4 linked regions of the Pelodiscus sinensis genome follow. The protein of the gene in region 4 interacts with the protein of the main gene of each other region in a biochemical or structural test. Links are inferred from orthologs where the notes say so. Each region holds a gene or a part of one and is shown on either strand. Other genes may lie near its edges. The genes, in order: corticotropin-releasing factor receptor 1, HTR2A, KIT and MPDZ.

Region 1 (7,820 bases), on a different chromosome or scaffold from region 4:
ATCACCATGGTATCTGAACAAAACTGACAGCATGAGAAAAATCCCTAGTGGATTTCATGGCATCTCTTGCACTTCTCTCTTTTGAGAGCAAAATCTCTGCTTGAAGGAGGGCTTTAATTTTCTCTTTTTTTTTTTTCAGGCTGGCTCAATGACACAGAGGCCCTGGTTGACTCTGGAGCCACTTGGAGCAGCGGCATCTCTGTTCCACTCTGTTGTGGTCTAGGAGGGACTCGTATGTCTCCCAAGCCCTGCAAAGACTGCCCAGGACTGAGAGACACAGAGGCTATGACTTCTTTGCCCTTGAGAATAGTAGCAGCCCTTCCCCGAAGAGGCCCCAAGTAGGAGGAATATCATAGAACACTAGAACTGGAAGGGACCTTGAGAGGTCATTGACTCCAGTCCCCTGCCCTCACAGCAGAACCAAGCACCCTCTAGACCATCCCTGATAGATATCTGTCCAACCTGCTCTTAAATATCCCCAGTGATGGAGATTCCACAACCCACCTAGGCAATTTCTTCCAGTATTTAATCACCCTGACAGGCAGAAAGTTTTTCCTGATGTCCAACCTAAACCACCCTTGCTGCAATTTAAGCCCCTTGCTTCTTGTCCTATCCTCAGAGGCCAAGGAGAACAATTTTTCTCCCTCCTCCTTATAACACCCTTTTATACTCCATCTCCTCTTTTCGAAACTAAACAAGCCCAATTCTTTCAGGCTTCCCTCCTAGGTCAATCATGGGAGGTGCTGAGAATAAAGTGTGGGAAGGAAGTGTAATGTGATTCATCAGAGGTGTGTTAGTTCAGGTAACCCTCTAAACCGGATCCTAGGAAGGGAGATTTTGGTCAGATATTAGGAAAATCTTTCTAACTATATGGATAGTTAATCTCTGGCACAGGCTTCCAAGAGGTGTTGTGAAATCTCCATCCCTGCAGGTTTTAAGGAACAAGCTGGATAAACACTTGTTGGCCCCAGGCTACGACAGAGACAAGAGGGGAGAGGATGGACCGACTTCTGTTGGAGGGAGGGACCATCATCAAAGCTACTCAGAATCTTCCTCAGGTCTGGGGAAGGAAGAACCCAATGGTCTAGAGATGCTCTGGGTCAGCCACAGGACCCTGCAGCCCACATGCCAGACATGGCTCATCCGGCTGCCAGGCAGGTTGCTTAACTGGGCATGTGTTAGCCAGGCCACTTGCAGCTCCCAGTGTCCAATGGGAGCCACAGAAAGCATTGTGGGCTGGGCCACCACATCCCTGCAGCTCGCATTGGCCAGGAACGGCAAACCACAGCCACTGGGAACTGCGAGCAGCTGTGCCGCTCAGAGACACAAACCATATGGAATCCTGCCTGTGGCGAATCTCCATGATTCTAGGTTCTAGGTTCACCTGGTTCTGCCTCAGCACAGGTGCAGAACTTCCCCTCCATTGCCAGACTCTATGAAGTGTGTTGCCTTGTAATTTCATTGTGCTGGATCTGGTGTGTTATTTATCAGTTTACCTAGACAGTATAGACCCGGACCTAGCTAAGGCTGCCCTCTACTCCACTTTCATCCCTCTGCCCCACTTGGTCAATTGCTCGGGATCTCTTCAAATGGTTTGGGATGAACTCCCCAGAGGGGCTCTGGACAAGGGTGTGGACAGAAGTGACAGGAAAGGGGCAGTTCTTCCTGAGCTCAAAGACGGGGAAAACACAGAGGAGCATTTAAACGCTAACTGGAAACAGACAATATTTCCCATGATTTTTGTAAAAAAAAAACAACCTCAAAAATCCAAAGCCTACCACGAATGGTGCGACCATAACATTGCGCGAGAGCTCTCTTCATGCAGCATTACGGTAGCACAGCGACTACAACAGAGACTCGGCTCATCCAAGGCAGGAGCGTGGAACCGCGCTGCACCCTTGGCGCGCGTTAGCACTTCCGAGTAATTCTTCCCAATGCTCCGCGCTGCTGGCACTTTGGACGCCCCGGTTTTCCGGGTAACACGAGGGTCTGCAATTACTTCTGTCGCACAACCGACAAGCTTGCAAAGCGCCGCTGCGCCCAGAGGGCCGGTCGAACTTAGCCCTCCGCCTTTGCGGACTGTCTCTGGCCGCTGCGGGCTTTCCCCCGCCGGGAACTCAGCGGGCTGCACAGAGCTGGTCCCCTCTACACCGGCCCAGAGCGAGCCGCGTTCTGCCACCCCCGCGCCGGGGTTTGCCAAAAATGTTCGGGTGCTCGTCGAACCCCCCCCCCCCCCCTTGGCACCGTGTGGGTTGGGTCTGGGTTCTCAGCGGAACCCGGCACCTCGCCCGGGGGAAAGGCAACGGCTTGTCCCGCCCGCGGCTCCAGCTTCGATGTGTTCCCACAAGTATCCCTCGGACCGGGGCCGGTGCAGCGGGGAAAGCGGGCGGGCATGTCCGGTAGGGGCCCTGCCGGCTCCAGCCAGCCAAGGCAGCGGGGGACTCGACTCGCGGCCACTTTCAGGGAAGCCGGGAGCAGATGGTTCCGCGGGGAACCAAGCCGGAGCCGCGCGGAGCAGCGCGCCAGGGGATTTGCCGGAGCAAGCGGGGCTCGCCCTCTCCCAGGGCTGCCCCCAGACCGCGTCCCCAGGACGACCCCCGGGAGCCTTCCCTCTTCGCTCTGCCCCGGCTGGAGCGCCCGCGGCTCCTTGCATGGCGCGCTGCTGCGGGCTCGATACATCGCCAACTCGCCCCCAAGTGCCGAGGCCGGGACAGAGGCGCCCCCGGCGCAGCTTGTGCCAATGCAGCCCGCTCGAGTGAGCGGGGTCCCTGGACAAAGCCCGGCTCTTACCTGCAGGGCGAGGCTCGGACCTGGCCGCAGCACCATCCTGGGGCTGTTAATTCCCCCCTGGCCGGGCTCCGGCCGGCATGGCCCGTCTGCTGCCGCACTGCTCGGGGATGCTGGTGTCGCGGAGGAGCGGGGAGGGAGCCAGGTCTGCTTGGCAGGAGCCTGCCTGCGGAGCGGGCTCTCCGGGAGCAGGAGCTGGCCCCCGGCTCTCGCCGCCAGCCCCCGGCCGGTCCTTTTATAATCCTGCTGCGCTCGGGCTGCCCGGCTCGCCGCCTTCCGGCTCCCCGGCTCGGATGGGGCTGGGTTCCAGCCTCCCCCCGGCGTATCTCCTCCTCCTCCACAGCCCCCCTCTGCCCTCGGCACTTCACCTGCCCAGCCAAGGGCAGCCCCGCCCGCGCCAGCGGCTCCGCTCTCGCCGGTTCCTAAGGGGGCCGGTGCTTTGCGGCCAGCAGCGAGGCTGGTGCTGCAGAGGCTGAGCCGGGGCGGGGCGGGGGGCTCTGCCGGAGGCCGGGGAGGAGGCGGGCTGGGTATTTTAACTCCCCCGCTGCAGCGCTGCAATGGGCAGCCCCCGGGCACGGGCAGGAGCCCCGCCGGGGCGCACACGGGGGGCTGGGGCGCAGGATGCAGCGGGCGGCTGGGGCGGGGGCGCTGAGCGGGCGGGACAAGGCGGGGGTGCGGAGTGGGGAGCTGTCCCGGGTGCGCGGCGGAGGCTCTGCCGCCTGCCCCACTCCGGTGCCGGCCGCCGCCTCTGGTGCTCCGGGGGTGGTACTGCGCCCTGGCGCCTTCCCTCCTCCGGACGGTGCGCCCTGTCTGCCCTCCCCAGCGCGGCTGTGCCCTTCCCCAGGACCAGCAAATATTGGCAGCTCCTGCTGCCCACGGCAGGTGCCCGCGGGCTCAGTGCGGGGCAGCCCTGAGCGAACCGGAGTGAAGCCGCAGCTCTCCGGCCAGGCACGCGGCCCATCTCGCACCCCTGGACACGGGAGCGCCTCAGCGAGTCCTGTGAATTCAGACTCCAGTGCGCTTCCAACCGGGATTTAAATCAGCGTGTTTTATTCCCATCGTACAACTGGGGAAACTGAGGCAAGAGGCAGCGACAAGAGTCGTGACTTTGCCGGGGGGGGGGGGCAATTTAAAAGTGCTGATTCTTAACCACCCCTGCTCTAACTGCTAGACCGTTCTGCCACTCCAGGGCCCCTCTCACTTTCCCTGGAGTCCCTAGGAGAGAGCCAGGACAAAATAGCTCCTTGGTTTGTTTCTTGGCGGTCCAGCACCCAGGCTATAATTTTCAAGCTGTTTCCAGGCCAGGAGGAACAGACCTGGTAGGCAGAGGCTTTTGTTCCTTGCTGCCCAAGGTGCCTGGACTGAGGAGGTTGGCAGAGGAAGGGATTGCCTTTATAAAATCAACTAAAGCAGTGGCTCCTTGCAATACAATAGCCTGGCTGCAATTCCTGGGGCCAGGAGACTTGGGCTGCCTGGACTGAGGGGATATTCTCTGATGCTCAGAGACCCTGTAGCTTGCTGGGGGTTGCGGCAGTGCCAGGGCTGCTGCACTGTTGTGTTTTTCTTGCCAGTAAATCACTTTGAGTGGGACCTGAGGTCCCCTTGCGGTGAGCACCCAGCATCCTGCACTGCGGCTTCCCATGTCACTCTGCAGGCCTCGGTGGGCAACGGCGCTAGCTGCCTGAACCGGTTTGTGGAAGGACGGCTGCACGGCTGGGTAGGGTGCTGGAGGAGTGCCTGCCCCAGGGGGATTCCCTGGGAATAGACCTGCCAGTGAAGAGCCAGTGAAAAGGGGCTCAGGGAGCCATGTCTGTGCCGACATTCGCCCCCGGTTTGCTGGGGACTGAGCAAATCTCTTGCTTTTGGCCAATAGAGCACCAGGTGCTTTACAAAGGAGTGCAGCATTATTGTTCCCATTTTACCGGTGGGGAAAGTGAGGTACAGAGAAGTGAAGACACGTGCCCAACATTACCCAAAAGGCCAGAGCAAGGAACTCAGTGTTTCTGAGTCCTGAGTGTTCTGTCCACTAGGCCTTCCTGCCCCCCTGCTGCCGTCCTACTACCACCTGGTTCTCGGGGTATACTCCAAAGACAAGGGATTTGCTTTTTTCTGAAGCCTGGGGTGCCAGGAGTCAGCCTCCAGCAGAAGCAAGAGGCCATAAGAACAGCCATACTGGGTAAGACCAACGGCACATCTAGTCCCACAGTGGCCAATGCCAAGTGCTTCTTTGGGAATGAACCAAACAGCCAATCATTGAGTGTTCCCGCCCCTGTCCTCAGCAGAAAGGGCAGATTCCCTGTCAGTTCCAACAGCAGTTCCCCCTCAGTCAAACACTGCTCCTGCCAATTACTGTGGCAGGAGTAGCCCTGGGTATCCTGGACAGATAAACAGGAGGTCAATGGGTAGCAGGTTTAAAACTAATAAAAGAAAGTTCTTCTTCACACAGCGCGTAGTCAACCTGTGGAACTCCTTGCCAGAGGAGGCTGTGAAGGCTAGGACTATAATAGAGTTTAAAGAGAAGCTAGATAATTTCATGGAGGTTAGGTCCATAAAAGGCTATTAGCCAGGGGATAAAATGGTGTCCTTGGTCTCTGTTTGTCAGAGGCTGGAGAAGGATGGCAGGAGACAAATCGCTTGATCATTGTCTTCAGTCCACCCTCTCTGGGGCACCTGGTGCTGGCCACTGTCAGCAGACAGGATACTGGGCTAGAAGGACCTTTGGTCTGACTCAGTACGGCCATTCTTATGTTCTCATGTAATACTGCAAGAATGATAGGATAGAAACCAAGCCTTAGTAAAGCAACTGCTTGCCTGATTCCTCCTATCCCCATTCTTAAGGCTCTTTTGATTTCAGCTGCTTAACTAAAGAAAAGGGCTCAAGAGTTGAATTTAGTTTTATAGCGTTTTGTAAAATACCCATAACAACAGTTAATGAACAGTACAGGAGATAAGAAGGCAAACATGGATTCCTCCATGGTTCCCTGTTCTGTTCATTGCCTTTGGGGCACCTGGCATCGGCTACTGTAGGAAGACAGGCCACTGGGCTAGATGGAGCTGTGGTCTGATGCAGTCTGGCTGTTTTTATATTTTTATGTTTTGGACTAAGACATGGCTAATGCCAACTAGAAAATTGGTCAATATAACCATGTAGGATTTCAGAATTAAATTACACAGCCACAAGAGACCGTGACCCTTATCCTTGGTCACTAGGTAGAAATGCCGACTAGGTTTAGATTTTTGACTAAGTCCCTTAGCGTAGGCTCTGTGAAAGCTGTTCCCCATTCTGGCACTTGAATGCAGAAGGTGGGCCCCGCAAGAGACTTTAAAATACCTCGCCAAATGCCAGTAAAGACTTCTGTTTAAAAACTCTCCAAGGTCACAGAATCCCTGGCCTTGGATGGGTATCGCTGCCACCACCCAAATACAAAAAAAAAAATAAACAAATTTGAGAACCCAGGAAGATGCATTTGGGAATTTCTTCCTGTGAAGTACCCTCAAGCTCTTTAACTTTCCCTCTGGTGAGAGCTTGAAAAAAAAACAACCAACCCTGTGATTTTTCTATGCAGTCTTAGGCATGTGCACACAGAACCTCTTGCCTTTTAGACACAATCAGATCACAATCTTCAAGTGATTTTTATCAACAAAACAAGTAAGTTTTTACTTGGTGAACATTACTTGGTTGAAAGTCTCAGGGGGTAGCCGTGTTAGTACATAACTCTAAAAACAACAAGCGGTCCTATGGCACCTTAGAGACTAACAAGTATATTGTAGCATGAGCTTTCATGGGCACAACCCACTTCATCAGTTTACTTGGTTGCTAGATGTTACAGCGTAACTGAGAAAAAGTAAGAGAACAGTAAGAGTAACTGAAGTAACAGTAAAAGTAACTGAAAAAACCCCACAGAGAATTGCTTCCCTGGGATTCAGTTTGGAGAATAACGGTGTAAGGAGGTTACATGTGCTCTCAGGGTATGTCTACATTGCAAAGTTAAATCAAAATAACAGCTGTTATTTCGAATTAACTTTAATAGCGTCTATACATGCAAACTGCTATTTCGAAATTCATTCGAAATAGCGGAGCGCTTAATTCGAATTTAGTAAACCTTATTCTATGAGGAATAACGCCAAATTCGAAATAGCTATTTCGAATTAGGTGCTGTGTAGACACTTAATTCGAAATAGGGGGCCTCCAGCCCTTCCCAGGGAGCCCTGGTGACCACTCTGGGCACAACCAGGAAAACTTACTCTCCTCTCCCCGAGCCCCGGAGCCATTAAATGGGTAGCTGCCTGTGCCAACTCCAAGCCTGCCAGCCCAGAGCCAGCAGTGGCGACTGGGGCCCCTGATCCAGTGGCCCCAAAATATAAGCCAGCAAGCCACTGGCAGCCAGCCCTCCACCGCTCCCCAGGACCAGTCTGCCAGCTCCCAGGAGCCTGCCAGGGGCTGGAGAAGGCAGGCACCTTCCTGGTCCAGGGTGGAGATCATGGACCTTATTCAGGTTTGGGGGGGATGCCCCCAATGTCCATGATCTCTGCACTAGATGGAGGATAGCTGCCAGCCTGGCCTCCAAAGGCCACATGCGAACCCAGGAGCAGGTTTGCACAAAAATCAAGTTGGTCCGGCGAGATCCCCCAACCCTGAGCCCTGAGCTTCCCCTCCCCCTTCTTCCCCTGGCTTCCCCCTTCCAGCTCCCTCCTCCCAGGTTTCCTCCTCCCCTCTCCCACCCTCTCTCTTCCCCCTCCCACCTCCTTTTCCCAGTCTCCCCAGAGGTTCATCCCCCCAAGTTTTGTTTAATAAACCCAGTTTCTATTTTTGAACATACGTGTCTTTTGTTTGACATCAGGAAGGGGGGCTAGAAAGGGGTAAATGGAAGGATGTGAGGGAGGAATGGGGCACGAGCCCCACAGTGGGGAGGACTGGAGTGGCTCTGAGGGCTCCTCAGTGTGGCTCTGAGGGCTCCCGCAGGGCCTCCTGGATCCTGACAGCCCCCCGATGGACTCCCCGGATGGCAGCCTGCAGCAAGTGCAGCTGGGCT
Region 2 (7,205 bases), on a different chromosome or scaffold from region 4:
TATCAGGCTAATGCTGCATTTCTAGGAAAGCTTATGCCAGAATGACAGAGTGATTTTTCAAATGCATGTATCCTGGAAAGGCATTGTTCCTCTGGCAAAAGACATTGCAGTGCAATGGGTTGGGGAGAGGAGAGAAAAACAGAAGCAAACCAAGAGTCCTTCCTCTGTCAAATGGAGAGAATGGAGTTTTTCTCTTTTGCAGTGACCATGCAGCTGCCCTCCTATCGCTGTGTGTGTAGTAAGGGTGCATTTGACCATGTAAATACTACAATTAAAATAAATGAATGTCTTCATACTTTTGCAGCCTTCACACACCAGGAGAAGGAGGTGAAGCTCTGTGCTCCTTATGAATTTCTGAGCAGGGGCAGGGATTGGCCAGCAGGAGTCCCTATTGCATGTGTCATTGAACCATCCAGAGCTTGAGTCTTTCACTTTTATCTCACAAAACAAGCAATTACTGCTTCTATGGCACTATTTTGGATTAGCTTCCCTATTACCAAAGGTAATGATACTACTGATAAAATCAGTCACAGTCCCATGCCAATTACTAACCTAATGTGATAATACCATTGAGGTAGTTTGTCTGCAACACACAGGCAAAGTGAAAAAAGCAGCATACTCTTACATTACTGTTTCCTAATAAAATCATCCTAAAGTTACAGTTTAGTGGTGGATGATTTAGCCTATTGAAACAGGCTTAAAAGCTATTTAATCTCATAGCTCTTCTCTTCTTGTATTATGGCAATAGGTAGTTTTGTAAGTTTTGAAGAAAAACTATTAGGCTGCTGCTTTTCAACCGTCTCTGCTGTGTAACAGGGATTACTAAGGATTTTGATCAAAATGACAAACTTCCAATACCTATCACAATAAACAGTGTCACAATTCAGTTTACATTTTCAAACTACTCATTAGAATAAAAAACAAATGTCTTGATATTTTGGTTGTTAATTGGTAAATGTTGCTAGCAGTTGAGTACCATTAACTCTATTCACTTTTCAGCCTCCTTAAGAAACACTTATTTCCACATTTCATAGTAGCTAATGAAATTTAAAAGATAAACATATAAATAAAGATCACAGTGGAAAGAAAATTATTTAAAATTGCAATGCTTCATTTAAAAAAATAAAAAAATAAGTAGAGGCAGGCTATTTTAAACAGAGAGTATCAAGATATTAATGTTTCTTTGCATATTTGCAGAGGAAATTAATTGACAGGAAGTTACTTCCCTAATAGAAACACTGAAAACTGTGTCAAAGACAACATTGATTCAAAAGAGAAATTATAAAACAATTCCATAAAAATCAAAGTGGTAAATTGCCACTTTGGACTGTTTAAAATGTCCATTCTTAGAAGTTAAAAGTTAATAAACACATACATATTTCATCTGTTCTTTATATACATTTACCTCTATAGTTATTTTTCACCTTGCATAGGGAGGTGGCAAGTGAATACCCTAAAACTAGCATATATTTACATTTTCCTTATCAAGCTGAAATAATAACAGTGTGCGCATACAATTTTTTAAAAGCTACTCAATACGTGTAATAGGTTAGACTAGTGATACCTACCATACAGTATGGTTAACATTGACACAGGCATGACAAGGAAACCCAACAGCATATCAGCTATTGCGAGTGACATTAGAAAATAATTAGTGGCATTCTGTAGCTTTTTCTCCAGTGACACAGCCATGATAACAAGAATATTTCCAGCAATGGTTAGAACAATCACAATAACTGTCAGCAGAGCTGGCCAGTTTTTCTCTGAAAGATGAAATAGTGAGGAATGGCACGGTGGAGTCACTCTACCGTCACATGAAAGATTAGTTAGGTTTTCGGAGTCCATAGTCAAATTAAACAGATGAGATGTATTAACCTCTCCAGGCCAAAAAACATTTTTGTAGAATCTTCTTTCATGATTTAATTGGATTAAAGAATTCACAGTTGGGTTCTCCTCATCACAAAGACTATCCATTGCTAAGTCTGAAACCGGGGCAGATGTACAGTGAAAAAACAAAAAATTATAACCCTTTGTCACCATCAGGCTTTATATTCCTCTGTTGTTCAAAGCTGAAGCTGATGAAAAGGAGGTACTCTTTATGATTGATTGTATTTTCATCTTTAACATAACACTGAGAAAATGGATGGAGTTATTCTGGATCCTCAGATACTTTTGTTTTCAGTTCCACTTGGAGTCCAATCGCTGCATATGTTAAAAAATCCAGTTGAAAAGCAAAACTCACAGGCTAGAAAATGTGGACTGGAGGCTTCAGAGAGGAAAAACATTGGCCAAAAAACTTTTGCATCCACCAGGATTCCCTTTTGTAGCTACATCCTATTGCTATTGGTAACTGTAATCACACAGTTTTAAACACAGCAGTATGAAAGTAGCTTGCTATACAAAGCAAGAGAACTCTTTGCACTCTGTATTAAGAAAGTTGATTAAAGATTCCATTCAGCATCTTAGTCTCACAATAATTAGATATGTTGTTACTTATAGTTCATCTTCGATATTACAGTTGATAGTCTCTGACTTCTGTCATATGACAATATCATTTTAAGTCTCATACCAAGATTACAAGTAATGTTCCATATTGATTTTAATATGTAATTGTAATAATTACTTTTTGGCCCAGCATGGCTTGAAAATAGAAATAAAATTATTATGTACTAACAGTTTTTAAAAATACAAGATAAGGCAAGACTTACATTGTACTTCAGAGCCCACACTCAAAGTGCATTAGAGTCACTTTATACCCTGATTTCTTGTATCCTTTACTGTGTTATCCACTTTTGTCTTCTTTCTTTTCAGTCTCTACAAAAATGATTTTGAGTACAGCTTTGTTGACTTCTACTCTGTATGTTAGAGTGATGCCAGTTCCTGTGCTGTGAATCTTGTTCTTTTCTTCTGAGAGATGGGCAGCTTGCTGTCTCTGTTCCTGTGCATCCCCCCCTCCCCAAGCTATATTTAAAATAATAACAATAACCATAGAGCCCACCTCCAAGTGACACGAAAGAAATCACACAAACTAGACGTAGCAGTCTCCACAAAGGGATTACTGATTTCAACAGGAATGTAATTTCTTGCTCACTGCCTTGTTCAGTTTGTCAGACCTCCCACTAGCTAGATGTCATAAACTGCAAGGTAGCAACAGCAAAAGAGGGCAGACCAAATAGGGTCTTTTTTATACATAAAACCCAGCTTTCTCGCTTTATCACTTTGAGGGCTTAGGGTTTTTTTTTTTTTTAATTATGATTTTCGTTTGTAAAGGATGCTGGGCAAAGCAGCTGCACGTGCTGATAATATTTCACAGGGTGAAGTTTTAAGAAAGGCAATAAATAAGCCTTGCAATGGTACATGCTGGTAAAATTGTAAACATGCAGATTTTTCTATCCTAAAGGTTGCAGCTTTTATGCTAACCCTAAGATGAATTACTAACATTTAGATTTTTATTATTTTATTTTTGGCTCTTCACTGATGTCATAAACAATTTGCCAAGATATATCTTCTGATAATAAATATAATACTTGTAACATATTATAATACATATATACTCTCCTGATGACCATACTGCATATATACCTGGATGTCATTTTTAATTTGTCAAGAGCATGATGTTACAATTAACCCCAATAAGCTGTGTGAAAGAGAAGCATCCTAAGTGAAGTAATCCAATCAGATAACACAATCTCAATGAAGAAGAGAAAATAAATGCTCTTCCAGGATTATTGCCTATTCCCTTGTAACATTGGTGCCAGGATGCCTGTGGGAAAACTAGCTAACAGATAATGAGACGTTTGAGAGTAACTGAGAATAATGTATGTGTTATATTGACAATAAAACAAGCTACCCATTGTTAGGGCCAATTACAACCTTACCAATATAAAACATCTCTCCCCACTCTTCTCTGTCTAAAGACTGAGCTCCTTCACCTTCTTCTATCTAGGTTCTTACCTTGCCTTTATCATCATGCTATCTGAATGCCTTACAATCATGGACCAATTTTATCCTCACAGCATGCTTTTTTACAAAAGGGAGACTGAGGCACAGAGTAGATTAAGTGTTTTGTTCAAGGTTGCACAAGAAGCCTGTAGCTGAGCTCTAATTTGCACTCAGCTCTTTTAAGTCATAACCCAGTATCTTAGCCCCAAGACGACCCTTCATTCCCACTTCCCTGTTTGGAAGTGCCACTGGGAATGTATTGATCCTCATTTTACATAAGAACATAAGAACGGCCGTACTGGGTCAGACCAAAGGTCCATCTAGCCCAGTAGCCTGTCTGCCGACAGTGGCCAACACCAGGTGCCCCAGAGAGGATGGACCGAAGATAATGATCAGCGATTTGTCTCCTGCCATCCTTCTCCAGCTTCTAACAAACAAGGCCAGGGACACCACTTCTATCCTCTGGCTAATAGCCCTTTATGGACCTAATCTCCATGAAATTATCTAGCTTCTCTTTAAACTCTGTTATAGTCCTAGCCTTCACAGCCTCCTCTGGCAAGGAGTTCCACAGGTTGACTATACGCTGTGTGAAGAAGAACTTTCTTTTATTAGTTCTAAACCTGCTACCCATTAATTTCATTTGGTGTCCTCTAGTTCTTCTTTTATGGGAACTAATAAATAACTTTTCTTTATCCACCCTCTCCACACCACTCATGATTTTATATACCTCTATCATATCCCCCCTCAGTCTCCTCTTTTCTAAACTGAAAAGTCCCAGTGGCTTTAGCCTCTCTTCATATGGGACCCGTTCCAAACCCCTTATCATTTTAGTTGCCCTTTTCTGAACTCCCCCTTCTTTTTGAAGGATTCTTTAGATTTTGAATCTAAAGATAACTTAGATTATTTATCTGAAGACCTCTGGCTTCCTTTACATTTGTTAAAATCATGCGAACTGTTCCCGTGTGGCAACAGAGAGCCTTTGTTAACGTGGATCTTGATGGAATCGAGGGTACTTGCACTTCTTGGAGACGCTCATCCTTCAGAAATTGGGCCTATATTTTGTCCTGGTAATAGAGGCCAAATTGTGTTGTAAGGACTACATAGAATTCACTGATTTCTAGTGTATGGCAACCTTCATGTTTCATACAGAAGAGTAACCTCTGGAAGCTAAGGGTCTGAACATGTAAACATTCATTTTGAAATGAGCAAACCTCCACTTAGGGGTGTTGGAATAATTTGCACAGTGGAGGTTCTGAGAACCATTGAACCAAACTGCAAGTTCTGTTTATAATGGAAACCACTTCAGGCCAGGGGGTGCAGTAGTGCCCCTAGTTCCAGCACGTATGGCTCCACTCAGCTAAAAGTAGAGCCCTTCTTACTTTAAATCTATGCAATAAACTTACAGTATTGACTACAGCTGCAAAACCCATCTGTTTTCTTGGATATTTTGGTAAGGTGTGGGTGGCATTTGGAGGCTTTTTTACTTTGATCTGGGTTGCTACTAAATTGGGATTTATTATGATTTTTATTAGTGGTTGTTGGAGCAGTCTATTCCTGTTGTTGTGGAGAACTGATAGCTGTGAATTACAAATTCTTACAATTACAAATCAAACCAAATAGTTAAATAGCACTGATATGTCTTCGCCATAATCTCCAGAGTGTAGTGAGTTTCTGTATCCCTAAACACCTTATTTCCTCTTTCTTTTGTACTGAGGGGAGATCATCAAAGGTTAGATGTTTCAGTTCAGAAAAAGTACTCTTAGGGATTGACTACACTACAGAGATGGACACAGCTGCAGTCGATCTTCTGGGGTGTGAATTTGAACTGAGAGTGCTCCCTTGTTGGTGCCAGTACTCCTGCTCCTTGCAAGGAGTAAGGGAAGTCAATACAAGTGTGTGCTTCCATTGACCTTCCGCTGTTTGGACATTGCAAAACCCAATTTAAAATACTTTGACTCCAGCTATATAATTAACATAGCTGGAGTTGTGTATCTTAAGTTGACTTTCCCCTTTACTGCATAAGAGGCCTTAAAGTTTTGCTTTCTTTTCTTCATATAATTGGACTCCAATTCATATGAGAACATTTTTATGAGGTTTTTGGCTAGTCACACTTCCAGCCTGGCCACAAATACCCCATAAACACTCTTTGTAATAGGATATTGACTCCTCCTCTTCTAATTTTGTCTGAAACCAGGAAATGCAGCAGAAAATACATACCTACAAGAAGTTAAATAAACTCTTCCAACCCCAAATGTTTGAATCGGTTTTATTTAATTATGGATTAAATTTTGGATCAGATATTCCTTTGTCCCGAATGATTCACTACTCCCTGCATTTTGGATTGATGTACACTATTTGTAATGTTGACTTGATAGATTGTTCCACATTCTGTTATTTATATACCTCAAAAAGTGTGCTGGTTATCCTAGCCCCCCTCCCCAACCAGTTCCTGCAGTGAACATATTAAAATTTAAGAGGAGACAAGACACCTAACAAACTAAAAAGAAAGTTTAAAAAGAAGAGGAAGTACAAGGAAATGTATTTAGGTAGTTATACGCACATCTTGGAGGGCTATATATTAATGAGCTTTCTTTTTTATTATTGTTCTGGGAATTCATTTCTAAAAGAAGTGAGTCTAGTTTTATGTATGCACTTTCTATAATTATTTGCTTGACATGTATATATTCTTGCTTCACATTCAGTCCTCAGTTATGGTTTATGACCTCTTGGGTTTTGTATACATGATGAAATTGACCAGCACAGTTGTAGAACAATAAAAACAGAGTAATCATTCCAGAATAAAGTCACTTTTATTCCAGAATAAAGTGTGAGCCCAAATGAGTAATATCAGAATAGCAATAGCATAATAGTTGTTATGCTTTAGCTTTGCTGATGAATTTCCCTTTTCAGGCAAGTTCTTGTATCTGTATCTGAAAAGGCTCAGCTCGCTAGCCAGAGTGCTACTTTGAATGGGCCAGAAACACTGAAGAAGGAGAAAAGGTCTGAACCAGGAGCATCGAAGGCAGTACACAATGGTGTCTGAGGATGGGCAGACCTGAGAATGAAAGGAGGCATGAGCTTCCCCTCCATCTGTAACAAAAATGTTTATTTTAGTATTGGTTAGAAGAATATAAGTATGATACATAATGATTTAATATATAATGACTTGCTTGTAAGTTCTGTATACTTCTATTTCACCCTGTCTCTCATAATTAAGCCTCAATTGGAGTATTGTCTCCAGTTTGGGCACCACATTTCAAGAA
Region 3 (7,667 bases), on a different chromosome or scaffold from region 4:
GGAGAAGCTTCCTAAGTGCTTCAGCAGCATAGCAGCCTGCACAAGTGCAGCGACAGCACTGTAAGTGTAGACTAGGGATATGATTGTGTACATTAACCAATGAGCCTAGGCTCATCAGTTAACCTTCAGGGTTACACATAAGCTCCCTCCCGTGCTGCTGCCATGCCCTCCGCCCCCCCACACACACTGCTGCCTCTGATACAAAGACAGCAACATTGATTGGTAGGGGGAGCAGGCAGGAGCCAGCGCTCGCAGGGAGCCAACACTGACAGCCAGAGAGATGCCTACCTGCCTTCCACATTGCTGCCTCTGATACAGAGGCAGCAGTGTAGGGGGCAGGCAGGAGTCAGCATGCATAGGGAGCTGATTTTTAAGCTGGCTCCCATGAAACTGTCTCTCCCGCCCCACATGTGTTATTGTGTAGCCACTGAACATTTCAGAAGTTACATGTTTACCAAAACACACACACATATTTTAACATTCCTAGTGTAGACAAGCCCTCAGCTACTACCCCTCTCTTGGTGTCAGGCACCTATGCCATTTTTTTAAGTAGCCTGAGGGTAAAAGGGCAGCAAGAGGACAACCCTCTCATAATTTTTAGCCCAGTGGTTAGAGTACTCACTTGGGATATGGCAGACTCATGGTTCAAGTTTTCCAGGGGAAGCAGTCTGCTACTAAGTGCCCTAACCACTGAGCTATAGGAAAATCTCTCTTACTCGGTCCTGCTGAAGCTTTTCCATTGTGGCTAAATAACTGTAAAATTCAGTGAACGGCATGAGAGAGACTGCCACTCCTAGTGCACTATCCATGTCTACAGAGTCAGTCTGTCTGTCTCTCTATCTCATTCCATTGTGGACAAATTAAAGAATCGCTGGGCCAGAGAGGGTTATTTGCAAGACCACTTCTTTAAAAAATTGTTAGAACTGAGTTCCATCACCACTCATGTTTTGTCACCATCCACTGCTTTCCTCCACCATTAGCTTTTTTATATTGTCAGGTTTCCAGTGCTCATACAAATGGTGAACTGTATTCATCCCTGGTGCAACTCCTATAAACCATTAGTTATCCTAGGGATGAATTTGTGTCTCTGAGAATATTTGATAGCTTCTCTCCTACATGTTTTTGATTAAATATTTTGATGGGGAAATCTCATCTCTGTCAGCCTGACATATTGCAGTTACTGCACTGACAGATGACATCGGTAATTTGACTTGGGTTTGACACTGTCTGACCTTCTATACAATTTAAATCCAGATGATGGCAACTGCTCAGGTTTCACACATATGCTAGCTGAGACTGATTTTGCAACCTTTTCGGAATTGACTACATTCCTTCCGCTACAAATTACCCCCGTGTACTTCAGCTGGACTACCTGCAGAATAGGGTAAAATTTAGCATGAATGAAGGTGACAGGAATTGCTAAATGCCAAGTCGGAGTGACTTGTCCAAATAAAAGGGCAATATATTAGCATGACAATGGCATGATAAACATGCATTGGTGCTGCCCCATTGGTTCAATTACCATCAATTCAGTTCTTTAGGACAGTCCTGTATGGCATGGGTGAAAGGACCTAAAAATCCACAAGCCCGGTACAAGAACAACCTCCTTCAAAAGAGGGTTTGGTAGGTTTTCTTACTGGGAAAGAACAGATGAAAAACTTGCCTCGCACAAGACTAACAAAACGCAAAACCACTTTGACTAGGAGATGCGCTACTAAATTCAGCCATGAAACGGTTCATTCCGGAGAGCAGTTAAATGGGAGAAAAAAAGATGGAAATCAGCGACCGCACGAAAAGGTCTGCTATACTTTACTTACAACTTCGCCACTGGGGCTACACCGGACTGCGGCTCTTGGAAGCATTTCTCGTTACTATTTCGGTTAACAGCAATCTAACCACAGGGACGTTTTGTACTGATGGAGAGATAGTTTTACTGACAAAACAGTAATCAGATGCAAAACCCCTCTCCCCGGCAGATAACAGTTCTCGGAACAAATCTGGATTAACTACCGCCCCTTTTCCCTGACTATGGGCAGCACCTCTACCGGGGCGCGCAGCCAGACCTCGAATGGGGAATATGAACAAAAATGCGGATTCCACTGGCTCAACAGCAATGATTATTTTGACTCCCTGGTCAGTCCCCCAATGAGACACTTCGGTAGCTCTCAGGCTACCCTGCTGCCCCTCCAAAACCAATGCAACTCTGCCAGCAGAAAGCACTGCTCACGCGTCTCCAAAACTCGCGCTCAAGCGACTCATTGGCGGGCCAAACTAAGCAAAGCTTCGCAAAGTTCCTGCAACTGAAACGCAGGGCAGCAGCACTCACCGCAGCGCAACAAAGCCAAAGCCCCAGCCCCCGGGAGCGGGAGGGACTTCGGAATAGCGGGAGGAACCTGCCCCTCCGTGCGACCCGCTGTTCCGACTGTTTGCAGCCAGAGTTTTCACACTAAACACAGCTGGGGTGTCTTTACCGGGGGGGGGGGGGGATAGGCAAGGCCGCCACTCTCCTCTGCCTCGGCAGAGAGGCGCACAGGTGCTGGAAGGAGGGAGCCGGCTTGACGTGTTTTCCGCCGGCTACTGGCTGTTCAGTTCGGCCCAGGCGGAGGTGCATTAGGAGTTGCCTTTATCCCCAAACTCCTCCACACCGGCCGCGCTGCCAGCCCCGCGCAGGGAGCGGAGAAGCCGGTGCGTGCTGCCCCTTCCCTCCCCGGTTCCTGGATGCACCGTCCCCCCCGCGCACGAAGCAGGCGGAGGAGCGCGGAGCCCCCGCGCGGCACAGCCCCACCTGTTGGAAAGCCCAGCAGCAGCGGCAGCAGCACGGCGCCCGCCAGCTCCCAGGCCAGGCAGGACCCTTCCATGCTGCTCCTCGCGCCCGGCGCTGCCACGAGCCTCCGGAGCGCTCAGACACCGCGGCAGCGGCAGCCTCGGCAGTGGTGGAGGGAGCGCAGCGCCACCGCCAACCTGCTCCTCCTCCAGCCACGCCCCCCCGGCCCGGGCCGCTGCTCGCTCGGGCGTCTCGGCTGGGCTCCCCCAGTCAGGCTCATCCAGTTCCCGCCGGGCCCCTCCCTTTGAGCCACTGCCCGAGGGGGCTGGGGGGGGGGGGGGCGGGTCGGACACTCGGTGTCGCGTGACGCCGGGTGTCAGCCAGAGGGGCCTCACACGTTATCAGGACGAGCTCTCGGACGCTGCGGAGCGCGGGGAGCAGCCCGGGAGCCCGCCTAAAGCCAGCGGCGGGGCGCTGCGCTGCACTGAGAAGCGACCAGCCGGCAGCTTGGTCACAGCTTCCAGCCCCGACACTCGCTAAACGGAGGGCCACTGGGATATGGTTATGGAATCGGCATCAATCCTGCGTGTAGCCTCTGTGTAGGTAATGGGGCTTCTCCACACCAGGGTTAGCCTGCACCCTGCAGGGAGCGCTGGGCAGGACTGGGCTCTGGAGGGGGAACTCATTCCTTAACAAGCAGAGCTACAGCTAAACAAAGCCTCTTTCCCTTCAGAAAGAACCTGAGCCATACAATGGGATCAAATATCTCTACAGCCGTGAAAAAAAGGGGAGGGGAGAATCCTTGCCCAAAGGTATAGACACACGTACACACACACGCTGGCGAACAGATCATGTGTATACATAAACAGACACGTTTAACAGCACTGAAATTCCACTCAGCACCAGATAACCCAGACAACATCCTACTCATTTCTATAAGGCACTCCCATGCGGAAATAACTTTTTTATGTTGTTAGACATCCAGAGAGAGAAAAGACACAATTGGGCCGTGTGAAGGAAAACTGTCAAAAAGCTAAAGAGAATTGAAACCCCTAAAATATTGTTTATTATGCATCCGCATGTATTGAGGGAGACAGGTTAAGTTTTTAGAATCAATGTGAGCTTACTTTCAAGTGTGTCAGTAAAGATCAGAAGAGTTATTGAAAATAAGTTATTCATTTTCTTTTCTTTTTTTCCTTCTAAAACTGTCATTCCTTCTAACCTCCCATCTGGGCAGGACAGTCTTTAGATCAAAGTCTTGTCTTTGTCTTGTATGTATAAAATGGCTGTCTCAATTTCTCTACTTTCATCTTAGAACACTGGTCTCTATTGGTAGATAGCTGGAAACTGAATAATATTATATTTAAAAAATCAAATAGCATTCTTTAAAATCACATTTTTCACCAGGAGTCAACCTCAAAACTAATTTTGGAGGGCATTTTAATAGCAAAATATTTTCAATTTATGTCTATTCACTCCAACTGAGGAAGAGGGTGTCTCAGACTCCTTATATATCTAATCTATAAAATGCATATTTAAATTCATTTGTCCCTATAATCTTAAAGCGATATTGCCATTTTAGTCCTTAAAGAGTTTTCCAGCATCAGATGTCAAGTGCATAGATACAGTCTTTACTGGATCTATAAAAACTATATCCTATTCTTAAAGATATGTCTTGTGTTATTACATACATGATACTCTATTATAAAAATTGTCTTTTCAGTGGACTCTTAAGCAGAAAATAAAGGTTCTAAACTTCTTGATAAAACCTTTGTGAGTTTATAGTCTGCAATCTATATTAAGAAAATAGATTAGTTCTTACAAACTGCAGGGTACTGTAACTTTCCCCTTTGTTACCTCTGAGCATGGAAATCCTCTTCAAGGTTGTAGTAAGACATTTCAGTTAGTAACCCAGTGCAGTGAATTTGAAAATATTTGCAAAAAAGTTATTCTTCCCCAAGGTTTTTTCATTCCTGAGGATACTGTGTATAAAGACCAATATAGCTTAGCATAACAAGAAAATATAGAGAAACAACCCATCTTATTTACAGCTCAGTCTTGTGAACAGTGATTGTGGAACTCTGCCTTCAAAAAGCATTCTGCCTCTTCTAGGTGTATTTTTGTATCATTTCCTCCGTGACTGATTGGGGCCTTCAAACACTAGCCCTGCTACTTCCTTCCATTCTGTGTCAGGTCTGAGTAAAGAATTAACTTCTTGCTGGAGATCAAGTCAGACCTTTACATCCTGTTCTGGATACAGGTTCTGTTACAGGTCATGAAAAATCCTACTGGGATTTCTTCCAGACCAAATGTTTTGCATGTCTACAAATCTAAATAAGTAATTACAAAGATGATTAAATCTATGTGGGTATGTCTACACTACGGCGCTAATTCAAACTTAGTTCGAACTAAGCTAATTCGAACTAATGCATCCAGACTAAAAAACTAGTTCGAATTAGCGTTTTGCTAATTCGAACTAGCATGTCCACACAGAGTGGACCCTGAACCGGGGTTAAGGATGGCCGGAAGCAGTGCCGGCAGGGCATCAGATGAGGACTTAGAGCGTGGAGCTGCTGTCTCAGGCGAGCCGAGGGCTGTGATTAAAGGGACCCGACCCCCACCTCGGACAGACAGTTCTCAGGAGTGCCCCGCTTGCAAAGCAGTCCGGGCTTGGATTGCCCGGAGTACCCACACTGGGCACATCACACCACTTGGCCATCAGACCGGCTGCACTTGCCGCAGGCTGCCATCTGGGGAAAGAGGGCAATTGGGGGGCTGCAGGAGAGGTTCCACCCCCAGAAGCCCACAGAGCCAGCCCAGTCCTCCCCATTGGGGGCTCGTACCCCATTCCTCCCTTATCTCCTTCCACTTATTCCTCCCTAGCCCCCCTTCCTGATGTACAAAATAAAGGACAATTGTGTTCAAAAATAGAATCTTTCTTTATTGAACAAACCTGGGGGAGACTGGGAAAAGGAGGTGGGAGAGGGGAGGAGAGAGGGTGGGAGAGGGGAGGGCAACTACAATGATGAGGGGTTTGGAACAGGTCTCATATGAAGAGAGGCTAAAGAGACTGGGACTTTTCAGCTTAGAAAAGAGGAGATGGAGGGGGGATATGATAGAGGTCTATAAAAGCATGAGTGGGGTGGAGAGGGTGCATACAGAAAAGTTCTTCATTAGTTCCCATAATAGAAGGACTAGGGGACACCAAATGAAATGAATGGGTAGCAGGCTTCAAACCTATAACAGAAAGTTGTTCTTCACAAAGCAAATAGTCAACCTGTGGAACTCCTTGCTGCAGGAGGCTGTGAAGGATAGAACTAGAACAGAGTTTAAAGAGAAGTTAGATCAAGTCATGGAGGTTGGGTCCATGGAGTGGTATTAGCCAGGGGGTAGGAGTGGTGTTCCTGCCCGAAGTTTGTGGAAGGCTGGAGATGGATGGCACGAGACAAATGGCTTGGTCACTGTCTTTGGTCCATCCCCTCCAGGATCCCTAGGGTTGGCTGCTGTCAGCAGACAGGCTACTGGGCTAGATGGACCTTTGATTTGACCCAGTACGGCCATTCTAAGCTCAAGGCTCAGGGTCGGGGGGTCTCAGTGGACCACCTTGATTTGCATGCAAACCTGCTCCTGGGTGGCCAGGCTGGCAGCTCTCCTGCCCTAGACGGCCGCTTTCCTGTGCCTAGTGCGGAGGTCATGGACGAGGTCCACGATGTCTACACTGGACCAGGCGGGTGCCCGACTCTTGCGGTCCTGGGGAAGGTCCCGGGAGCCGCCAGCCTGGTCCCGGGAAGAGGGGGAGGCCTGGGGGACATCGGGTGGCTGGCTCAAGCCGTGCCAAGTGCAGGGACTGCTGGCTGGGTGCTGGCAGGCTTGCACCTGGCACGGGCACCGTAGCCAGCCCGTGCCCCTTTAAGGGTTCCGGGGCTCGGAGTGGGGCAATAGAGTTTCCCCGGTATTGGCCAGAGTGGCCACCAGGGAAAGCTGGGGAGGGCTAACCTCCCACTAGTTCAAATTAAGGGGCTACACACCCCTTAATTCGAACTAGGCTTAGTCCTCGTACAATGAGGTTTACCTAGTTCGAACTAAGCGCTCCGCTAGTTCGAATTAAGTTTGAACTAGCGGAGCGCTAGTGTAGCACCTATCAAAGTTAATTCGAATTAACGTTCGTTAGTTCGAATTAACTTTGTAGTGTAGACATACCCAGGGAGACTAAGTCAACTCCTCCGGTATTTTCTTTAAATTACATTTTTGGGAGAGGACATTTCTATCTGCATATAAACTTCAATAAAATAATAAAACTTTTGATTGATCTGACGTACATCACAAGAATAAGGGTACGTCTACACTACAGCGCTAATTCGAACTAAGCTAATTCGAACTAACGCGTCTAGAACTAAAAACTAGTTCGAATTAGCATTTTGCTAATTCGAACTAGCATGTCCACATTAAGTGGACCCTGAACAGGGCTTAAGGATGGCCGTAAGCAGTGCGGGCAGGACATCAGAGGAGGACTTAGAGCGTGGAGATGCTGTCTCAGGCTAGCCAAGGGCTGTGCTTAAAGGGACCCGACCCCCACCCCGGACAGACAGTTCTCAGGGGTGCCCTGCTTGAAAACCAGTCCTGGCTTGGAGTGCCCGGAGTGCCCACACTGGGCACATCACACCACTCGGCCATCAGCCCGGCTGCACTTGCCGCAGGCTGCCATCTGGGGAGAGGGGGCAATCGGGGGGCTGCAGGAGAGCTTCCACGCCCAGAAGCCCACAGAGCCAGCCCAGTCCTCCCCATCGGGGGCTCGTACCCCATTCCTCCCTCACCTCCTTCCACTTACCCTTTCCTAGCCCCTTTTCTTGATGTGCAAAATAAAGGACAATTGTGTTCAAAAATGGAATCTGTCTTTATTGAA
Region 4 (7,416 bases):
CACTATATAACTACTCTAGCATGCATTTTGTACCATTCTTCCTTACAGAACGAAGCATAGCAGCTATAACAACTAAACATTAACTACCCCAGACAACTATAAAATAAAAATGACAGTCACACATTCTAGATACCAAATTCTTGAATGTATTTTAAACACTAACAGAATACATGAATATAGTCAGAATTATTTCAAAATTTTATTTTCTTAGACACATTAAACTTAAACACTACAAATAGCATAGACTTCTCTATCTTACTAACGAAGATGTCCAAGATTTTTTTCTTTTAAGTGACTGATGCTTTTTTGCATAACAAAATGGAATTTTCCAGTTTCCCTTCACATAATTTCTTGGCTAATCAAGACAATTTTGGGAACCTATAATATGCAAAGTGAGACATTCAATAACAAATATTAATACTGAAGCTCATTTTCTTAAGACACAATATTTAATTAAACCTTTAAAAGCTCAACTATTTTTCTCTGCTATGTTGTACCCATTTCTTTTCCAAAAGCAAAGCAAATCATGATTCTAAATTAACATTCCACCATTTTTACTTTTAATTTTTCCCCCATTCACAAGTTGTCCATTTGAGAAGTGATAGAGTAATGCACTGAATCTTGTCCTGATACAAATTAAATCAAAGGACATTTCACCACTGATTCCAGTGGGAGCAGGATTGGGCTTTACAGATATTACTTAGATTGTAAGCTCTCCAGGGCAGGTACCATCTTTTGATTCTGTTTGTACAGCATCCAGCACCTTGGGGTCCTAATCCAGGACTAAGGCTCCTATGTAATACAAATAAATAGCAATAATAGACCCTGATTTGTTCTTGCTGCAAAGCAAAACTTCATGGAACAGGTTTGCTATTCTTCTCCTTCACGTTCCTCGTACTTTACAAGAAATCCCAGCAAAACGAACAATTTCTTTTCCACAGGTTGTGGGTAATATGGATCAAATATACTACTGCTAAATGATGTATTATTTTTAAAACTGAAGGAGAAATGCATCACAAGACCAGTCAGCAAAGTAATGGCTGCATCTCATGAACTGGAAATATGAAAAAAAAACGTGGAAACATGTTACCTTTCCTTCAAAAGGTGTTACTGTTTATTCCACACTTATGTCATCAGTATCCGCTTCTCAAGTGTTTAAAAGCATATAAACCTAGGTAAACATAATAAACAAAATAAAGTTATCAGGACACAAGGCTAAATTCTATCTTCTGTTATCTTATACAATTCTCACTGGGTAAATGTGTCTGCGGCAGAATTTGGCCCTTGTTCATAATCCTCTGGAAAAATATCTCTATATGTTCATTCAAATAAGTACGTTTTTAAGATCAACATTTCTGAAATTCCATCAAAATTGGAATCCAGAAGTTGCCCACCCCTAAATGTAATTGATTTATAAGATAATGCAACCATTTGTGGCCTCTTGATGTCTCAAGATCATTTTGTGAAGAAATGGGTTTTGCCCACGAAAGCTCATGGTACCATGTACATATTTTTGTTAGTCTGTAAGGTGCCACACGACCACTTGCTTTTAAGGTACAGACTAACATATACCCCTCTGAGACTTTAACTCCATCAAAGTCTTCAGCTTCAGTTTTCATGGAGTCTCTCATGTAAACATCCTGGCAAAAAGCACTAAACTGGGGAATGGAGTGGGGGAGGAGAGAAGGGTTCTCTTTTTTAACCAAGTCATTCCAAGACAAACAATCACACGAATTTGAGGAATGATTTGAACATTACTAGGCTCTTCCACCCCACCATAAATCAAAGCAACCCCCCCTTCCTCTTCACCTCCACGCACTTTCAGTGAGAATCATTTACACTTTTTTTTTCAGATTCACATGTGATCTTCTTCCCAGCAGACCTAGAGCACGGGGAGGGGAAGAGGAGAGGAGGGCGAAGACACCTGCTGTGAAATTGCTGGTGTGAACGGAGGAGGCTCCTCATAACCTGCAATTTCCCCGTCTGTCTAGTCCAGGCAACATGTTCGCTGACACCTGGCATTGGAGATCTGGCTTTGTCATGTTGAAAGGGGGGGGGGGGGGTTGATTAACACGGTATCGTCTGCAAAGATAGGGCTTGTGCGTGCAGAGCCCACGGGGCGACCTGGGTGGGGAGGGGGCTACGATCGGCTCGGGTTACAACATGCCCACGGCAGCCGCGACTTGCAGTAGCCTGCGGAGACGTGGCTTTTGTTTCCAGCGAGGTCTCGCCTGGCCCAGCACCGGCGGCGTCGGTGCAACAGCGCCCAGGAGGCAGCCCTTCGCCGCGCGTAGGGCCGCGCCCTGCAGCCCTCACAGGCGCTGGAGCATCATTCCCCAACTTCTCCCCCACCCCCGCCAGCCAGGCCGCCCGCCCCAAAGCTCGGCAAAGAAGCAACAGGCTCAGCCCGTCAGGAGCGGCTGCTTCCCCTGCGCAGCGCAAGGCCTTGTGGCGCCCGGGCCCCTCCTCCTCCTCCAACCAGCAAAACCAGGGGCCACAGCTCCGGCCCCTCCCGCGCAGGGGAGCGGGACTATCGGGCTACACCCGGTTTCAGGGCGAGGGGAAATGCCTCCCCCCCCCCCCCCGTTCTGCCCCCTGAGCGCAGAGCCCCGGGCACCCATAGAACGTTCCCCGGGCGCAGCCAGCGCTACCCTGCGGGCACCCCCCGGCTCGCCGCCGCGCTCCGCTTACCCGCTTGCTGCTCCAGGCGCCTCGCCGCCGAGCCAGGGCTGGGCTGGGGGAGACCACTTGCAGCCCTGCTGGCCGGGCTCTGCAGACTCCCCCCCCCCCCCCCCCCCCCAAGTAACGGCCCGCGAGGAGGTGCAGGATAAACAGGCAGAGGCTACCATGAAACTTAATCCGGCCCAGCCATCAGGCGGCCAGACGCCAAGCCGCCCCCTCCCCCTTCCTCCCAGCTACCCGGCGCTCTTGAGCCGAGCCCCGCAGAAGTGGGAGTAGGAATCGGCTGCACAGAAGGAACCATGACAACAGCAACAGGAGGGGCCCCACTGGCGGCCCTCGCGCTCCCTGCTATGCCCTGAGCCCGGCCGGCCTGCTGCTAGGCAGGGCGCCTCGGAGCCGCGCTGCTCGGGAGCACCGTTGCAAAAAAAAAAAAAAAAGTGGCCTCGGCCGCCCCCAGCACGTCTTCTTGCGGGAGGGGAGAGGGCTGGCCCCTGCAACACGCTACCTTGCGTGTGGAAGCGAGGTTGCGGAGCTAGCACGTTCAGACCCCTGTCCCGCACACATACACACACTCCACACAGTTATGGGGTTGCGCAAGAGAGGGGCTTTAGTGGCCTCTTAAAAACTCGGTCCAATCTGATCTGTTACCCGCCGGGGTCCCAGCTGTTAAGCATTATTCCCTATAGAGCCCTTATCTTGTTCTCTTTCCACGCTAAAGGGACCTCAACTTGCACTCCACTCTTTTTATAGTAGTTTGGTTCAGATATTAGACCTGCTCCTGAGCCGCCTCCTTTCCTACCAGTGATTGTAGTTTTGCAGCCACATTTTCCTATTTTTAAAATGTCTTCCCCTTCTGAGAAGAGCACAAACATGTCTGTGTACATATGGGAACACTGCCTGTGACTCTACCAAGTGTTGTAAAATGTATACAACTGAAAAAAGACACAAGTCGTGTTTTCTAATCTGTCATTTTGCTTGGAAGTTTAGCAGATTTTTAAAAAGTGCTTTTTTCACATCCTATCCTTTGAAATGTCCTGAGTGGTTCCTTCCTCTGTATCCTTTGAGAGACAGTTCCACCATCAAATAGATTTGATCACTCCTATGTTTGATTTTTCCCTAATCTTGTATCTCTTGCTGAGGCCACACTTTTATAAATTCCAGAAAGACTGCTTAAATTATTGCAGCTCCACTTGTGTGCTGCAGTTTTCTGTGGATGATTTTCCTGTCTAAAATGGAGATATGGGGGTGAGATAGAAGCATTATACTGCTGTTTGTTCAGGGAAATGGATATTTTTTGTTCAGGGTTTGAACAGAGAAGGAAAAGAAAAAACTTGATTTTTTTTTTTAGAACTAAAGGAAAGGGGATTTTTTAAAGTTTTTATTTGAATATAAAACAATAGCCAAAAACCATAATGAAAAGCATATATATTGTATTGTGCAAACACCTTTGAAGTAAAATACAAATACATGGAATAAGTGAAATTTGAGTGAAATTTATTTTCAACATAAAAATGCTAATTAATTTATATTTGCTGAGCACTTCGCTTTCTGACGCACTTTTTATTTAGTAACTATCATTAGAGTCATCATTTTTCTATCTAATGCCAAGAAATCACCTCTTGTTCCCTGTTTATGCCAGCAGCTTTGTTGCAGTAGCATCCATAGTGCCAGAAAGAAGGCTGGCTCACACTGCTGAATACGTCATGTTGCAGTAGACTAGGGGCTGGTACCCTATGTTGACTTGCTTGTTTTTGTGTTGATTTGGTTTACTTCTTCAAAATGTAACTGATTTTTAAACATTGCCACATTATATCAATAAGAGACACCATTGTGTTCTTCAGCTCAAATGCAGGTAAAAAAACACTGACCTTTAGATACATGTATTACTTGTATCCTGTACAACAGAGATTCTACGCATACAGCCATGATAATAAACTCATAACATTTACAACCTGAAAGATTGTCTTTTTGTCTCATTAAAAAAAACAAAAACAAAACATCTTCTTGTCCAGAGTCCTACATTGCATCTTTGCAGGGAGATTTTACCTTGCACAGATGTTTTGAAAAACTACATTTACTGGATTTCTCTTATCTTTTATGGCTGTAGAATCTTCAAAACTCAAAAGAACTCCAGTTGTTTAGTTAAGCATGACCTTCTAACTTGTTTGGATACATACCGGCTATGTTTTAATCACACTCTTTTTTTCCAGGCATTTTCCCACCTGATACTTTAAAAGGGTTTCCAGGATTTTCCATGACAAAAGATTGCATTTCTTTGGTCTATTGTGTTCCAGTTTGTCCACTGATTTTTTTAAATTAATTAACAGGGTTATATTTGTCACCTTGATGATTCTATACTCTACTGGGCTTTTATAAATTCCCTGGCAATTCTGCACTTTGCACACTCTTGTTTGTGCAAATTTTTAAAAGTAAAAGAAAGTTTGTTTGCTTGTATAATTACTATCTGAAATATTAATCACATGAAACTATCTGCAGAAAAATAGAAACAGAGGAGCAGAACTTGTTAATGACTGTTCGATATCGGGGTAGTGAAAAGTTGCCAAGCATCTGTGGCCAAGAAGCACTGTGCCTTGATAAAGAAGAATGCTTCCAGGAGCTCTTCAACATTCATGGTACCATCTCTTACAGAAGCCAGCATGCACTCCCTTCTGCAGCTAGTCAGCTACACTAATCAGTAGCAGCAATGTGGGTAGGGACATCACCTCCACAGAAAATTTGGGGTCACTTACATCCTAGGTGGTGCTAACTGGGAATGGTGTTTGTGCTTTGGGGAGTGTAGTTGTCCTTGAACAGAAATTAAGGAGTAACTAGACCAAATTGAGCAAGGTCAGGAATCTTGTGTATCTCATCAAGTAAATCAATAAATGCCAAAATCCTTCAAGCAATATTACAAATAAAATCAGTTGAACCTATCTATTGGCAGGGGGATTTTTTTGTTTTTAATTTTTAGCCTACAAATTGTGTTCCTTTTTCCTATTAGACCTACACATTTTGTGCTTTTTCCTCTTAGAAATCCATATCAATTTGTTGCAAATGGGAGATGTGGGGACAAATGCTATCTTTTTGTAGCAAAGCTTTGGGGTTAATAATAAGAGGGCAGAGGTGGGAGGGGGGGAATTTTCAGCAGAAAATAAAAAACAAGTTGAGAAAGTGGAGGCCCATGCAGGAAAGGCACTCAGGTGGAATGGAGGTGTCCCATTCCAGCTGGGGCAGTGCTTCTCAAACTTTTTGCTCTGCAGCCCACTCCGCTCAATGCAGACCTTTCTGCGGACCAGGAGCAAACCACCCATATGACAAAGTAGGTACAGGAGTGGGCTGGGGTGCAGGGTCTGGCTGGGAGGTAGGGTGCAGGAATGGGCTGGGATGAGGGATCTGGAAGGAAAGGAGCTGCAGGATAGGGATGTCAACGTTAGTCAACTACATGATTAACCGATAAGCCTTATAGATTAATCCTGTTGACTATATGCATCCCTTCTCCCCTTGCTGCTTCCCACAGAGGAAGAGGGGAGGCTGCCACAGAGGAGCCTCTGTCCACGGCAGGCCCAGACTTGCCGCAGACAGAGGCTGCTCCATGGGGAGTTTGCGCTCTACCACAGACAAGGGCTACTGCCACACCAACACTGCAGCCTCTGATACAGAGGCAGCAGCACAGGGTAGTAGGGGGATCCCCGGGAGTGGAGCTGGGAGTGCACTAGCTGCTAGCCCTGCCCCTGGGAACTATCTAAAAATCTGATGCAGTTACACAATTATTCAATTACACGGTATCTAACATTCCTAGTCCAGGAGCAGGGTCTCAGCATGAGGCGGATGAGTGAGGGGGATGGGAGTGTGGAATCTGAGCATAAGGGGGATGAGGGTACTTACCTAGCTCTGTACCTCCTGCCACTTCCAGGAACTGCCCCCTGCTGTTCCCATTGGTTGGGATTCCAGCCAATGGGAGCAATGGGGAAAGCCTCCAGATGAGCCGTTTTTTGCATTGCCATTCCCCCAGCTGGAGGAGAGGGGAGGGAGAGCAGCAATGTGTGGAGCTGCTTCCTCCCACCACAAGCCGGATCCAGCCCATGAGGCTCATGGCGCCCCCACCCACAGCAGGAAGCTGGCGCTGGGCTGGAGTGCCTGCTGCAGGGGAGGGGGAACAAGCCCTGAGCCCATAGCTCACTTGCAAGATGGTCACAGGCCACTAGTTTTCCACAGACCACATTTTGAGAACCACTGAGATGGGGCATTCCTCCTAACAGATATAAAGGAGGCTGATACATCTTCACACACTGATCACCACTCCTGGGGATGTTAAGGTTGACAGAAAGACAGACTATGGTGACAGGGGTTAGCTCATGAGGACAGATAGGAATGTGGTGATCACGAGAACCAGTTAGTGATTTCTACCTGCCAGTTTTGAAAGTGGTTGGTAGTATAACCCACTACAGCATTTTCCTCAGAAGAAAAGATGTTAACTACTCAGATACCTTATAATATTCTAAATTAATTATATCAGGAAAGCAATCTGAGTTGATTGTAAATAGTGCAATTAAGGCTTCTGGTTAATGTACAGCTCTGGTCAAAAAAGAAAACATGCTGTTAGGAGAGTGACCCTTTATCTGGGATAGATTATCCCATTCCTGCCCACTGTAGAACTCTTGTTCTCTCCTCTGAAGCTGCTGGTGTTGGCATTTGTTGGCGACAGGATACTGGACTGAGTGATAGGTATGATAC

The links.
Region 1: the proteins of MPDZ (region 4) and corticotropin-releasing factor receptor 1 form a complex in vitro, tested with the Homo sapiens proteins (2 studies listed by BioGRID and IntAct, with this or other methods). The link is inferred for Pelodiscus sinensis from reciprocal best matches to the Homo sapiens genes MPDZ and CRHR1.
Region 2: the proteins of MPDZ (region 4) and HTR2A form a complex in vitro, tested with the Homo sapiens proteins (2 studies listed by IntAct, with this or other methods). The link is inferred for Pelodiscus sinensis from reciprocal best matches to the Homo sapiens genes MPDZ and HTR2A.
Region 3: the proteins of MPDZ (region 4) and KIT form a complex in vitro, tested with the Homo sapiens proteins (2 studies listed by BioGRID and IntAct, with this or other methods). The link is inferred for Pelodiscus sinensis from reciprocal best matches to the Homo sapiens genes MPDZ and KIT.

What each region holds. Positions count from the first base shown.
Region 1 is NC_134739.1:4,617,675-4,625,494, reverse strand, and holds the start of corticotropin-releasing factor receptor 1, read right to left. Parts: upstream 3,231-7,820; 5' UTR 2,827-3,230; coding exon 2,791-2,826; intron 1-2,790.
Region 2 is NC_134711.1:288,143,782-288,150,986, forward strand, and holds the start of HTR2A (5-hydroxytryptamine receptor 2A), read right to left. Parts: upstream 3,117-7,205; 5' UTR 2,041-3,116; coding exon 1,569-2,040; intron 1-1,568. UniProt on the Homo sapiens protein: G-protein coupled receptor for 5-hydroxytryptamine (serotonin).
Region 3 is NC_134715.1:85,355,121-85,362,787, forward strand, and holds the start of KIT (mast/stem cell growth factor receptor Kit), read right to left. Parts: upstream 3,032-7,667; 5' UTR 2,859-3,031; coding exon 2,786-2,858; intron 1-2,785. UniProt on the Homo sapiens protein: Tyrosine-protein kinase that acts as a cell-surface receptor for the cytokine KITLG/SCF and plays an essential role in the regulation of cell survival and proliferation, hematopoiesis, stem cell maintenance, gametogenesis, mast cell development, migration and function, and in melanogenesis.
Region 4 is NC_134716.1:23,689,396-23,696,811, reverse strand, and holds the start of MPDZ (multiple PDZ domain protein), read right to left. Parts: upstream 3,015-7,416; 5' UTR 2,692-3,014; intron 1,172-2,691; 5' UTR 1,091-1,171; intron 1-1,090. UniProt on the Homo sapiens protein: Member of the NMDAR signaling complex that may play a role in control of AMPAR potentiation and synaptic plasticity in excitatory synapses. Promotes clustering of HT2RC at the cell surface.